Schizosaccharomyces pombe: one gene and its partner. The main gene of each other region encodes a partner of the protein of the gene in region 2 in a complex. Each region holds a gene or a part of one and is shown on either strand. Other genes may lie near its edges. A codon is read from its position in the direction of its gene.

What was found.
Region 1: the proteins of arp3 (region 2) and arc3 are in contact, whole or in part, in a crystal structure (PDB 3DWL), measured with the Schizosaccharomyces pombe proteins. Residues at the interface, in NP_592898.1 of Schizosaccharomyces pombe: Phe219 (codon at 4,526), Ser222 (codon at 4,535), Leu223 (codon at 4,538), Ile251 (codon at 4,622), Val252 (codon at 4,625), Leu266 (codon at 4,667), Asp281 (codon at 4,712), Val282 (codon at 4,715), Gly283 (codon at 4,718), Phe284 (codon at 4,721), Leu288 (codon at 4,733), Glu297 (codon at 4,760), Ile298 (codon at 4,763); in NP_596291.1 of Schizosaccharomyces pombe: Gly49 (codon at 1,320), Leu50 (codon at 1,317), Ala53 (codon at 1,308), Phe56 (codon at 1,299), Phe57 (codon at 1,296), Asn59 (codon at 1,290), Trp160 (codon at 891), Arg167 (codon at 870).

The regions. Positions count from the first base shown.
Region 1 is NC_003423.3:3,110,615-3,113,886, forward strand, and holds arc3 (ARP2/3 actin-organizing complex subunit Arc21), read right to left. Parts: upstream 1,624-3,272; 5' UTR 1,591-1,623; coding exon 1,585-1,590; exon of another isoform or gene 1,539-1,584; coding exon 1,439-1,538; exon of another isoform or gene 1,359-1,438; coding exon 1,083-1,358; exon of another isoform or gene 987-1,082; coding exon 844-986; 3' UTR 586-843; downstream 1-585. Other genes in the region: SPOM_SPBC1778.07 (carnosine N-methyltransferase), read left to right, coding at 1-585; SPOM_SPBC1778.09 (GTPase-activating protein), read left to right, coding at 2,110-3,272. UniProt on the Schizosaccharomyces pombe protein: Functions as a component of the Arp2/3 complex which is involved in regulation of actin polymerization and together with an activating nucleation-promoting factor (NPF) mediates the formation of branched actin networks.
Region 2 is NC_003424.3:346,836-355,053, forward strand, and holds arp3 (ARP2/3 actin-organizing complex actin-related protein subunit Arp3), read left to right. Parts: upstream 1-3,597; 5' UTR 3,598-3,641; coding exon 3,642-3,676; exon of another isoform or gene 3,677-3,739; coding exon 3,740-3,763; exon of another isoform or gene 3,764-3,835; coding exon 3,836-4,364; exon of another isoform or gene 4,365-4,459; coding exon 4,460-5,059; exon of another isoform or gene 5,060-5,124; coding exon 5,125-5,220; 3' UTR 5,221-5,461; downstream 5,462-8,218. Other genes in the region: GATOR2-SEACAT complex ubiquitin-protein ligase E3 subunit Sea4, read left to right, coding at 360-3,077; SPOM_SPAC630.04C (uncharacterized protein), read right to left, coding at 5,592-6,092; GTPase-activating protein Gyp7, read left to right, coding at 7,065-8,218. UniProt on the Schizosaccharomyces pombe protein: Functions as ATP-binding component of the Arp2/3 complex which is involved in regulation of actin polymerization and together with an activating nucleation-promoting factor (NPF) mediates the formation of branched actin networks.

The DNA of each region.
Region 1 (3,272 bases), on a different chromosome or scaffold from region 2:
ATGCTTTTAACGTCGCATTTCATACTGAATTGCGTAAAGCAGGAAAATCAGTTTCTTGTGTATCCTTATATTCATTCATTTTCGAACCATGTCATGCGTGATGACCAGGTGCGTTCATTAAATATTCCTGATGCAGTTCCCTCTCAATATCTGCGGAATTCACAAAACTTTTCAATGGCAGCCGGGGATTTCCTGGAGGTATACGGCACCGAAGAAAGTCGTGATTCGTTTCAAGTAGTAGCTACCTGCTTCTTTATAGACACTACAAAAAACATACTGGACTATTTGGATACAATTAAAAACTGTTTGGTAGATGGAGGTTATTGGATAAATCTCGGGCCTTTATTGTATCATTTTGAGTCAGAAGGTACTTCTAATTCTAACAGTGATAGCCAGCAACAACCTTTCGTTGAATTGACTCTCGAGCAGCTGTTTTACGTGATGGATAGTATGGGATTTGAGGTTTTAAAGCACAATTCGGTCGACACGACTTATATGGGGGACAAACGAAGTATGCTTGAATGGATATACCATCCTCATTATTGGGTCTGCCGTTTGCAAAAATCAAAATTACGATTTCAATAAAAATTTTTGAACCAACATTGAATATTACGACTTTAATCATTCAAATATTCCTTTAGCATAATTAACAAAGCTAATTGATAACTTGTACATGAAAGTAAAGCGATTATTTTTGCATCTACTATCTACGTATAAAACTGCCTACATTAAATAAGCCATTCGTACGCTTCAAAAACTTTATAAGCCGCATTTGAAATAAAGGAAACGGAAAAACATAAAGGCTTTGAAATACAGTATGAGCCAAATTATTAATTAATAGACTCACAAAGCTTTGTTCATAAAACGTCTCTTGCTGAAGCAAGTCCACCACTTGCTGGGATGATCCTTTTCAGTTGCATATACATGGGACAAAAGACGATAAGCAAGTTCCTGACGAAATTGAGTAAGATATGTACGCATTATTTCTTTTTTTAATAGTTAGCAAATGAAAAAAAAAGCAAGAAAGCTATTAGCGGCACAAACATCTATATGTCTAATGCCACAGTTTGGGTGAATCTTACCAGCATCTTGAGGAGAAAGGGGAGGAGCATATAATGCATTCAAGGGAAAGCCAGCAGAGCCAGGAATAGAAAAATTCTCCAACGCTAAACTATTAAGTTGACGTTCAGCATCACGATAATTGAGTCCATTAACTCTTCCCAAGCACTCACTGATAAATAATGTTCCATAAATTAAAGTACGGTCTGCTGGTCCCTTAATCTCAAAATTGCGGAAGAAACAATTGGCGCGAAACAGCCCAATGCATTCATCAATAATATCCATTTGACTCTCATCAGCTGTATAAAAAATGTTAGAAAGTACTCTAATAACATTAAGAATAGTCTTTAAACAGAGTTGACAAATATCTGGAACATACCAGGATAAGCCGGTCCACGAAACTTGGTTTTCAACGGCAGCATTGCTATGTTTCCCGTGGTAGGGACGTCCGTAAGACTTAAGAAGGAGGAATGATAGGCCTTTCATAACATGTCAGCAACAAAAATTCAAAACTTTAGAACATACCGGCATATCTAATGTCTAGTGCTTATGATGTTGTTGGATAACTTGAGCACCTGCTGAATGTGCCGATAGGGAGCATTTCGTCAAGCATCAATAGTGATAAATTAGCTTTTCTTTAAACAAAATAGCGAAAAGCTATGTAATTACAGTAAAGCAATATAGCGTGTCGTTTTTTTGTTTTGTGATCGGGTCTCGGTCTCTACTTTATAACTAGTTTTCATCAATGGAAATGACATAGAGCCAATAAATTTGTAGCGAGAACCAAATTCATAAGCATTTGCACGAATGCATTTATTGCTTGAAAAATTATAAAAACGTCAAAAAAAGATTTTCATGTTTGGTTATTTTGATTTTGGGATCTAACGTACTGACTTATATGGGGATAGACGGTCTTTTGGGACCGTAAACATTACTACATCGGAAACAATTCCCCCCTGTTAAATCTTTCTGTGTTGGATATTTTAATACAGTTTAGTAGGTAATCTGTTTTCTCCAGAGTGACGGAATTGAGGATATATCTGAAAGAGCATGGAAAACCCTTCCCCAACTAGAACAACCAATTTGCAACGAATTCGGTCGTTGTACAGGTTACAAGAAGACAAGAATAATTTAAATATACCAGAACCTATTAATGGAAAAGTTCAAGAAATCGATACAAAAGAGTCATTGGAAAATGTGGATCGTTACGGAAACTATCGCTCAGACTTTAATGTTAATAATTTAGGGTTCTATAAAGTTAGTAAAGACCCAACATTAGATAAACCAAACCCTGCCAAACGTCTTGGCAATAAATTAATCGGCCATGATGACATGCTGAAGTACGTTGATGAAAGCATCTTCATGGTTGTTCCCGGCGAGTCGCATGACCGCAACGAAATATCAGCTAAAGAGCTTTCCCGTATTCAAAAATGGAAATCGATGTGTTCAATACACCTCGTTTCCGGTAATCAGCTCCATTCTTTTCGAAAAACTCGTAAGTTAATTTTACGTACATTTAAGGGGATTCCAGATTGTTGGCGATCTATTGCGTGGTGGTCCTTTCTTGTGGATTCTCTTCCTGATAAAAAACTGATTGACAAGTATTACCAATTGAACGAGCAGATTTGTGACTATGATGTTCAAATTGACCTAGATGTTCCCAGAACAGCTGCTACACATTTCTTATTCCGAAAACGCTACATTGGAGGGCAACGTTTACTATTTAGAGTTCTTCATGCTGTAGCTCTCTATATACCTCGTGTTGGATACGTTCAAGGAATGGCTTCTATTGCTGCGACCTTGCTCATTTACTATCCCGAAGAACAAGCATTTATAATGATGGTAAATTTATTGGAAAATAGAGGCATGGGGGACTTGTTTTCTTCCGGGTTTGATACACTTTTAAAGGCTTTTGACATGCTTAAGCATGAGTTAAGTTTTACACAATCAGGCAGACATCTGGCGGAAATTGGAGCAGAACCATCTGCTTTTGCTACACGTTGGTATCTCACTGTTTTTCATCAATGCGTGCCCTTCCATACTCAATTACGTATATGGGATCTCCTGTTTTTATTAGGTGGAAGCAAAGGTCAAACTGTCAGGTTATTGCAAGCCACTTCTCTTGCGGTTATACAAGGAATGTGGGACACGCTAATTGATGCAGACTTTGAAGTAGTAATGCAAGCTCTGTCAGGTGTTATTCCCATTCAAAA
Region 2 (8,218 bases):
AGTGATTTAAAAGCTTAGACTTTCAACAGTACATCAAAGAATCGCTTGTTCGACACCGAAGTCACCCTAGAGATTAAAAAGTATGCAAAAGATAGTTAATCTAGCAACCGGTCTGTATTTTAATACTACTATTGTTAAGAGAATCATCAATAGCAAAAAGAAAACCTTTGAATTTGACAGCCTCTTTTCAGTCCGTTGTTAAGGCATTTCTGTTAGCTATCGTTAAGCAAATTAGTGCTAAACGTTATGTTTGACGAGTGGTTGAGATTGAAGAACGCTTCGATCAAGCTCTGTTTAATGTTTATGCAGTATTTTGGGCGTTTCTGGTAAAGCCTAATTGTCAAATTTCTCTTTAGAGAATGTTAAATAGAAGTAAAAAGAGGAATGGCTGTTATTTTTGGGTTAACGGCTCCTCAGATGAGATTCGATATGTCGCCGTCAAAGCTTCCCCTAAAGTAAATTGGAAAACTCACATTATTTGGAGATCATTGAAAAATGTTAAATGTATAGACTCTTTTCACGGAAACAATGAAATATTGGGTGCTGGTTCTTCTACCGGAAATATATCATTGCTTTCTGTTAAGCATCCAGAATTTCAAGCAGTAGTAACACCTGGATATGCTCGCCCTTGCAATAGTTTGGCATTTTCTGAAACTGAACATCTTGTTGCTGGATTTGCAAAATCTCGAAACGAGTCTTCCTTGAAGTTATGGGACTTGAATTCATTACTGTCTGACCCGAAGAGTAGTCCCTTAATGCAGTCTTCTACTCTAGACGGAGTTTCTTCCGTTTGTTATAAGAAAGACACTCCTCTTTTGCTTACCGGATCAACTTCGCGTTCTGTCCATATAATTGATACTAGGCAGCAACTAGACTCAGTTTCTTCCGTCAATACGCAATATTATAGTAATATAGTTGTTGATCCATTTTCTCCTAACTATTTTGCCGCAAATTCTTATGATGGTGACATTGCGATTTTTGATACTCGATACTTCAAATCCGATAATTATTTACAAATTATTTTACGGAACGAAAATAAAAAGCCCAAAAATCCACAATTATTTGCACTGAAATATTCTGAATGGAAACCTGGACAATTGGCTGTTTTGTCAAACAATTCGATTACACTTCGTCAATTATTGCCTTGTGTCAATGGAAATGAAGGATCCGCAAATAATTCTGTCTTTGTAAATTATGAGAAGAAATATCCTGTTAAACCAAATTCACAATGTTCTGGCATTGATTTTTTTACTCCTTCTACAGCCTTTCCAACTCATGTTCAAATTTTGGGTGTCATAAACGAACAACCGAAACTTTTTTCTGTCCATGATGAGGTCATTCCCTTTTCATTTAACCCTTATAATGATTTGATATTTTCCTTCAAAGAAAAACTGTATCCTTTAAACTCTTCACCATTTAACACACTTTCTGATGTCCCACAATTTGATGTCAGCGAATTTGTCGATGAAAACTCTTTCGATTCCTCGTCTTCTTGTTCCTCCAAAGTCTTTCTAACGACAAGAAACAACTCAATCAATTCAGAGGATTCCGCTCATGAAGTATTGCTTTCCTATAACCGCGTCCTTGGATCTGATATTCAAGGGACAATACTAGATCGCGTCAAAAAGGGCTACCAATTTGATTCCCAAAAAAACTCAGAATTAGTTTCTGATTTATACTTAAAAGATCTATGGTCTTGGATTCACTTAAGCCATAGACAATCAGAAGAATCACTGTTTGGAGACACAGGAGATACAGATTTCAGCTATCAAGGTGCACTAGGTATTTGGTTTATGGATACTGAATTGACTAGCATGTCCGATGTTTTTGAAGCAAAAGAAAGCAAATTTTTAGAAAAAAAAATTTTAAGACTTGCTAGAGATGTTATTGAGAGACTTGATTTAGATATATTTACGTCTATCCAAACTAAAAGGCCTTTACGCCAACTCGCTTTACTTGCCTGTGGATTAGGAATGTCAAATGATGACTTGTTGTTGGAAATTAGAAGACTGATTCGCAAGAATGAGCATGTAAAAGCCGCTGGGTTAGCACTTTTCCACGGAAAAATTGAAAACGTAGTCCGTATATTATCAAGTGGGAATGAGCTGGAGAAGACCATATCCACAGCAGTTGCCGGATACATTACATCGCAAGGCTTAAGTAACTTTGGAAGTGACTCATTGTGGAAAGAAATGTCTCGTAACTTAAGTACAGAATTGGAAGATCCATACTTACGTGCAATATTTGCGTATGTTTCCAACTCCGATTGGAGAGATGTATTAGATGAAGTTTCTCTCTCATTAAAAGATCGTCTTGGAATTGCTCTTCGCTTTTTACCAGATGACGATTTGAGTAATTATTTGTGCGATTTATGTCACACTACAGTGCAATCAGGCGACCCAGAAGGCCTGTTACTTACAGGTTTAACTCCTTTGGGAATGGAACTTCTGCAGAACTACATTGATCATACAAGCGATGTTCAAACTGCTGCATTGATTGCTGCATTTGTGGTACCTAAGAAATTTCTGGATAAACGTGCAGAGGATTGGACTGAAAGTTATAGAGAGCTTCTAAACCGCTGGAAACTTTACCGTGAGCGTGCAAAGTTTGATATCTTTCGGACAGAACTCTCAAAAAATCACACAGGAGAAATAACCAGAAAGGCTACAGAGCCATCTATACGCATTATCTGCAATTTTTGTAGAAAACCAATTTTTCCTTTCTCCAATAGGAATGAATGTAATAATTTACCAACGCCAATTCAACGAGGTGTCAGTAAAGCAGGCCCAGCAAAACACTTGGGAAAAAGTTGTCCTCATTGCGGACAGCCTCTTCCAAAGTGCTCTGTATGTGGGTTTTCTTTAGGAGATGAAGATGTTCCTCAGAAAGATGACTTTTCTCAAAAACCTCAAAACTATGTCAAAGAAGTTAATCTTCAGAAATCTAGATTTGGGTTATGGTTTAGCTTTTGTCTAAATTGTGGCCATGGAGCTCACGCATCTCATGCTTCAGAATGGTTTTCAACTCATACAATATGTCCGGTTCCTAACTGTGATTGTGAATGCAAACTGAAATAGAAATTGCAAATGAGAGCATTAATTAATAGCATTAAAATAACAGTTTATGGTTTGGTTCACAAGTAATAATTGCTACATGAGTGAATATAAAATCCATGATTACAGCTTAAAAATGTTTAAGGCTAAGAGGTTTAAAGCATAAGGTCTTTAATACTATGATTTGTTTAAAAATTCGACATAGCTATCTACATTTGTAATTGTTTGATAATACCAACGTGGTTAGTTTTATTACTGAAAAGGGATTAACGCAAGATCGTTAATATTTAATTTTCTAGTAGCAAGAAGCGTCTTCTAGCTTAGCAACTTGGTAATTTTAACCGGTGGTACTGGTATTGAAGAAATACATATTTAATTTTTTGTGTAAATTAATTTGGCCTTAGTAAAGATATCCAAAGTGGGTTGTATACGGGCATTCGCATTTAACGTAATCGGCTCATCTCGTAAATTACCATATGTTTCCCGTTAACCCACGTAATTCGACATCGGTGACCGTTGCGAGACGATATTAAGAGTTTCAACTGGAACCAACTTCTCTTTCGCTTACCTTTTCATAAAATAATAGCAATGGCTTCGTTTAATGTTCCCATTATAATGGACAAGTAAGTATTGATGTAGCGAAGTTAAATTGTTCGTGAATATCAGTTACTAACTTTATTTGTTAGCGGTACCGGCTATAGCAAGCTTGGGTATGTGTAATAGTCGTTTTAGGATGTTATTATCTCTCTTTTGAGCATTTATTAACAGTAATTTAATTTCAGCTATGCTGGGAACGATGCTCCTTCTTATGTATTCCCCACTGTTATTGCGACGCGTTCTGCGGGTGCTTCTTCAGGGCCGGCTGTTTCATCAAAGCCTTCTTACATGGCCTCGAAAGGCAGTGGGCATCTCTCAAGCAAAAGGGCAACTGAGGACTTGGACTTTTTTATTGGAAACGATGCATTGAAAAAGGCGTCTGCTGGATATTCTTTGGACTATCCTATCCGTCATGGACAAATAGAAAATTGGGACCATATGGAGCGTTTTTGGCAACAGTCTCTCTTTAAATATTTACGTTGTGAACCAGAGGACCATTATTTTCTTTTGACCGAACCTCCTTTGAATCCACCTGAAAACCGTGAAAATACTGCAGAGATTATGTTTGAGTCGTTCAACTGTGCAGGACTCTACATTGCTGTTCAAGCGGTTTTGGCTCTTGCCGCCTCTTGGACATCTTCAAAAGTTACTGATCGTTCGTTGACCGGTACTGTTGTTGACTCTGGTGATGGCGTTACTCATATTATTCCTGTTGTATGTATAAAAAATCTAATACGAGCTTAGATAAACAGTTTTGAACATTAAATGCATATATATATGCCCGAATTTTACTAACTGATAAACCTTAGGCCGAAGGATATGTTATCGGCTCTTCCATTAAGACAATGCCACTTGCTGGTCGTGATGTTACGTACTTTGTTCAATCCTTATTACGTGACCGCAATGAACCTGATTCAAGTCTCAAAACTGCTGAAAGAATTAAAGAGGAATGTTGCTACGTTTGTCCGGACATTGTTAAGGAGTTTAGTAGATTTGATCGTGAGCCCGACCGTTATTTAAAATATGCATCTGAATCAATTACTGGACACTCTACTACTATTGATGTAGGATTTGAACGCTTCCTCGCACCTGAAATATTTTTTAATCCTGAGATTGCTTCTTCCGATTTTTTGACCCCTCTTCCGGAACTTGTGGACAACGTCGTACAGAGCTCACCCATTGACGTTCGTAAAGGCCTTTATAAAAACATTGTCCTTTCTGGTGGTAGTACTTTGTTTAAGAACTTTGGCAACCGCTTACAAAGAGATCTCAAGCGGATTGTTGACGAGCGTATTCACCGCAGTGAAATGCTCTCCGGTGCTAAAAGTGGTGGTGTAGACGTTAATGTTATCTCCCATAAACGTCAACGAAATGCGGTTTGGTTTGGCGGCAGTTTACTAGCACAAACGGTATGTCATTATCTTATGTTTGTATATTTTTTAGTTTACCCGTAGAGATTTACTGACATGTTTAGCCTGAATTCGGATCCTATTGCCATACCAAAGCAGATTACGAAGAATATGGTGCTTCCATTGCTCGTAGGTACCAAATTTTTGGAAATTCTCTTTAATGAAATATATCATGAGTTTTGCGTCTATAGGATTTACTGATTAAAATGAAAAGTTTAATGGAGCAGGCATTAGCCTTAGAAGAAATAGACTTGAGGTTTGCTATGTTTCCAGGCTTTTTCATTGAGCAATATCAAATAAGATGTATATAATTAACTTGTCCAAATAATAATGATGAGAACCATGAGAATAATAATATAGTGATTACTAATAACGTAAAAGGAGAAAAAAAAAGAAAACGGATGAAACCGATGGGTTCCGCCTGATAAATACTTTATTATTCAAGAACGATGGATAAAATGGAAAGTGTACAAGTACTCAACGAATTTGTTGAGAGAAAGCAGAAGCAATCAAGTAGTCATCATAAAAAAAACTAAACTTCATCATTTTGCGGAGCAGGTAATGATTCATAAGAAGGTGGGCGTTCAATTGCACCGGCAACAGATGGAACGTCGCCGACAAATTCACCATTTTCATCAAATATTGCGGGCGGGGGAGGTGTGCTTGTGGTGGGTAAAGTTTTCAAGTACTGCTGGTTAAGAGCAGTAATAGGTTCATAAAGAGGGAGGCAATCAGTCTGTCGAACATGATGTTCGAATTGTTGTGATGCTCCGGAAGAAGAGCGCTCTCTCCTGTGAATTGAGTGTTGTGTTCTCTGCTGTTCCCGTGCAGAAATTATGGTTCGACACGCTTTAATTCTTTCATGATGCAACATAAATATGACAAACACAACGCAGATTATCCCAAACGTTAATACCAACACTTTTCCCCAGAACTGGGAGTAAGGGTCATACGGGATATCTGAAGCATCTGATGTTGAAACCAATTGATCATTAGCCATCACAAGGTCTATGGCTGATATTTCTTCCCCCATTTTTGTTTGATTATAATTTTGAACGTGTAGTGTTCCCAGTAGAATTTCAATTGCCACGGCTCAATTAAGACTGAACGTCAGAAATTTACAACAATCCAGTGAACTCACTGATATAGCAAGGCAATTATTATTCTTCCAATTTAATTTTACTCAATTACTTTGAGGTTTGTAAAAGTGAGGTTAAAACTGTTGTAAAAAACAAAGATAAGCCATAAAGCTTCCCGTCTCCTTCCCCAGAGTCTGGATTTTTTTGCGATATTTACGGTACGATACGGCAGTCACCGGAAGCATCCAAAAGCTGACCATGTATAATTATATGCTTTGATTTCAGATCATCCGTGCGCCTATGTATTAACTGTGTTGTATAAATTTATTTCACAATCGGCAAATTAGTTATGAATTAATTACTTTTGGTATTTCTGCTCTTGGTTATGCAGCGTAAGTGAATTTGACGATCTCCGTTTAAATAATGAGCTACTACGAGGTGATCGTTAAATTGTAAACAAAAGATTGGTTTAGTATGTCGCTTGAATGGAAACTGCAAAGTTTTTAATTAGAGATTCATCTGTTTCATCTAAATCTAAAGCAATTAATTTTTCATCTCTTCAGTTGTTCTTTTTAATAGAGTAGTTGAGGTGGATAAATGTTTATTCAAATTTTTGTTATTCGGATTATTTCGTACAGGAGAAGCTATCACAAAGGTCAAAGCCATAATATATTTAATAATTTATTGTAAAGAGAAAAATAATTATCAGAAAATTCAACATATTCAATTTAAGGTCAAGCACACTGGTGTCCGCTAATGCGTTTACTATACTAAGCCCTCTGCTTGCTTACGTGCATCGCCACTACCTAGCTATAGGTGCTTGTTGCAAGACAACAAAGTCTCGTACCTTTGCAGCGTTAAACGATTTTTAGCAATTTCCTCTTTCTTTAAAATTTGGAATTAACTGATTGTTTTCTATTCCTGTAATGACAACGCTGGAATCTCTGGATATGCCAGAGATGACAGAGGTCGAAGATGATACAGTCGACATACACATCGACAATTCGAAGGTCGCTCTCCTTTTCTCTAAAAGCAAGGTGTTTGTTCATCCCACATCGAAAATGAAGGATAACATATCTGGCTATTTGTCCTTGTCTAAGTCAAAGGCGCTAGGAAATTCATCAGTGGCCGGAAGCGATATTTTGTTATCATGGGTTCCTGATTCGTTTTTAAAAAATCGTCCCAGGGATCTTTCCGTATTTCAAAATGCGGAAACCCTTTCAAACGGTTCTATTAGAGAATGGGTAGAGATTCCTCAGCATTTGGACTACTCTTTTTCTGTACGATTGTGCAGCATTTATTCAATTATATTTCGACCTCCTAGATATGGATGGAATTATGGTAGTATAGTGATTAATTTGAGAGACAGTGGTGAGAGCCTCCCTCCTCTTTTTTTTCATGATGATGAATGTATTAGTACTATTGAGTATGGCAAGCAAATTACCAGAGATCGTTTTGATCCCTTCGATGAATCAGGAAATATGTTCTGGGGTGGAACGCATTTGTTGATGCAATTAAAGAAATACGCTTCTCTTGAACAGTCCTCACATGAATCACAACTGTACCTTGTTAATCCTTCTCCTGAGGATACTGTGGCATTTCAATCAGTTGAACTTCAAAAAGTCATTTCTAATAATCGACTTAACTCCAGTTCTACCCCTCCTACGCCTAGGAGCTCATCATCTATCTTTAATCCTTTTCGCCGTGCCCTTCATGATTTGTCATTCACTGTGCTTGAGCGGTTTAGTCGGGTCACTAACTACGGCAAATCAGAAGTTGACAGACTCATGGAGCATAAAGTTACCAAGTCTATATTGCCACACCTTCCACGTGAGCTTCAAGTGCTTCTTGAGTCAAAGAGAGTTCAAAAATTAACTGAAGAATATGATCCAGCCCGAATGTTTTTGGCTCGTTGGGCTGAGGGTATTGTAGAGCAATCTGAGAGTAACAATTCTCAACCTGTCAATAATGCGGGTGTTTGGACTGATGCACAGCGTGAAGAAGATTCGTCGCTGGGTCCATTTGAACTAGTGTACATAGAAGAGAGGGTGAAGCGTGATGATCCATTGTCTGTTGAGCA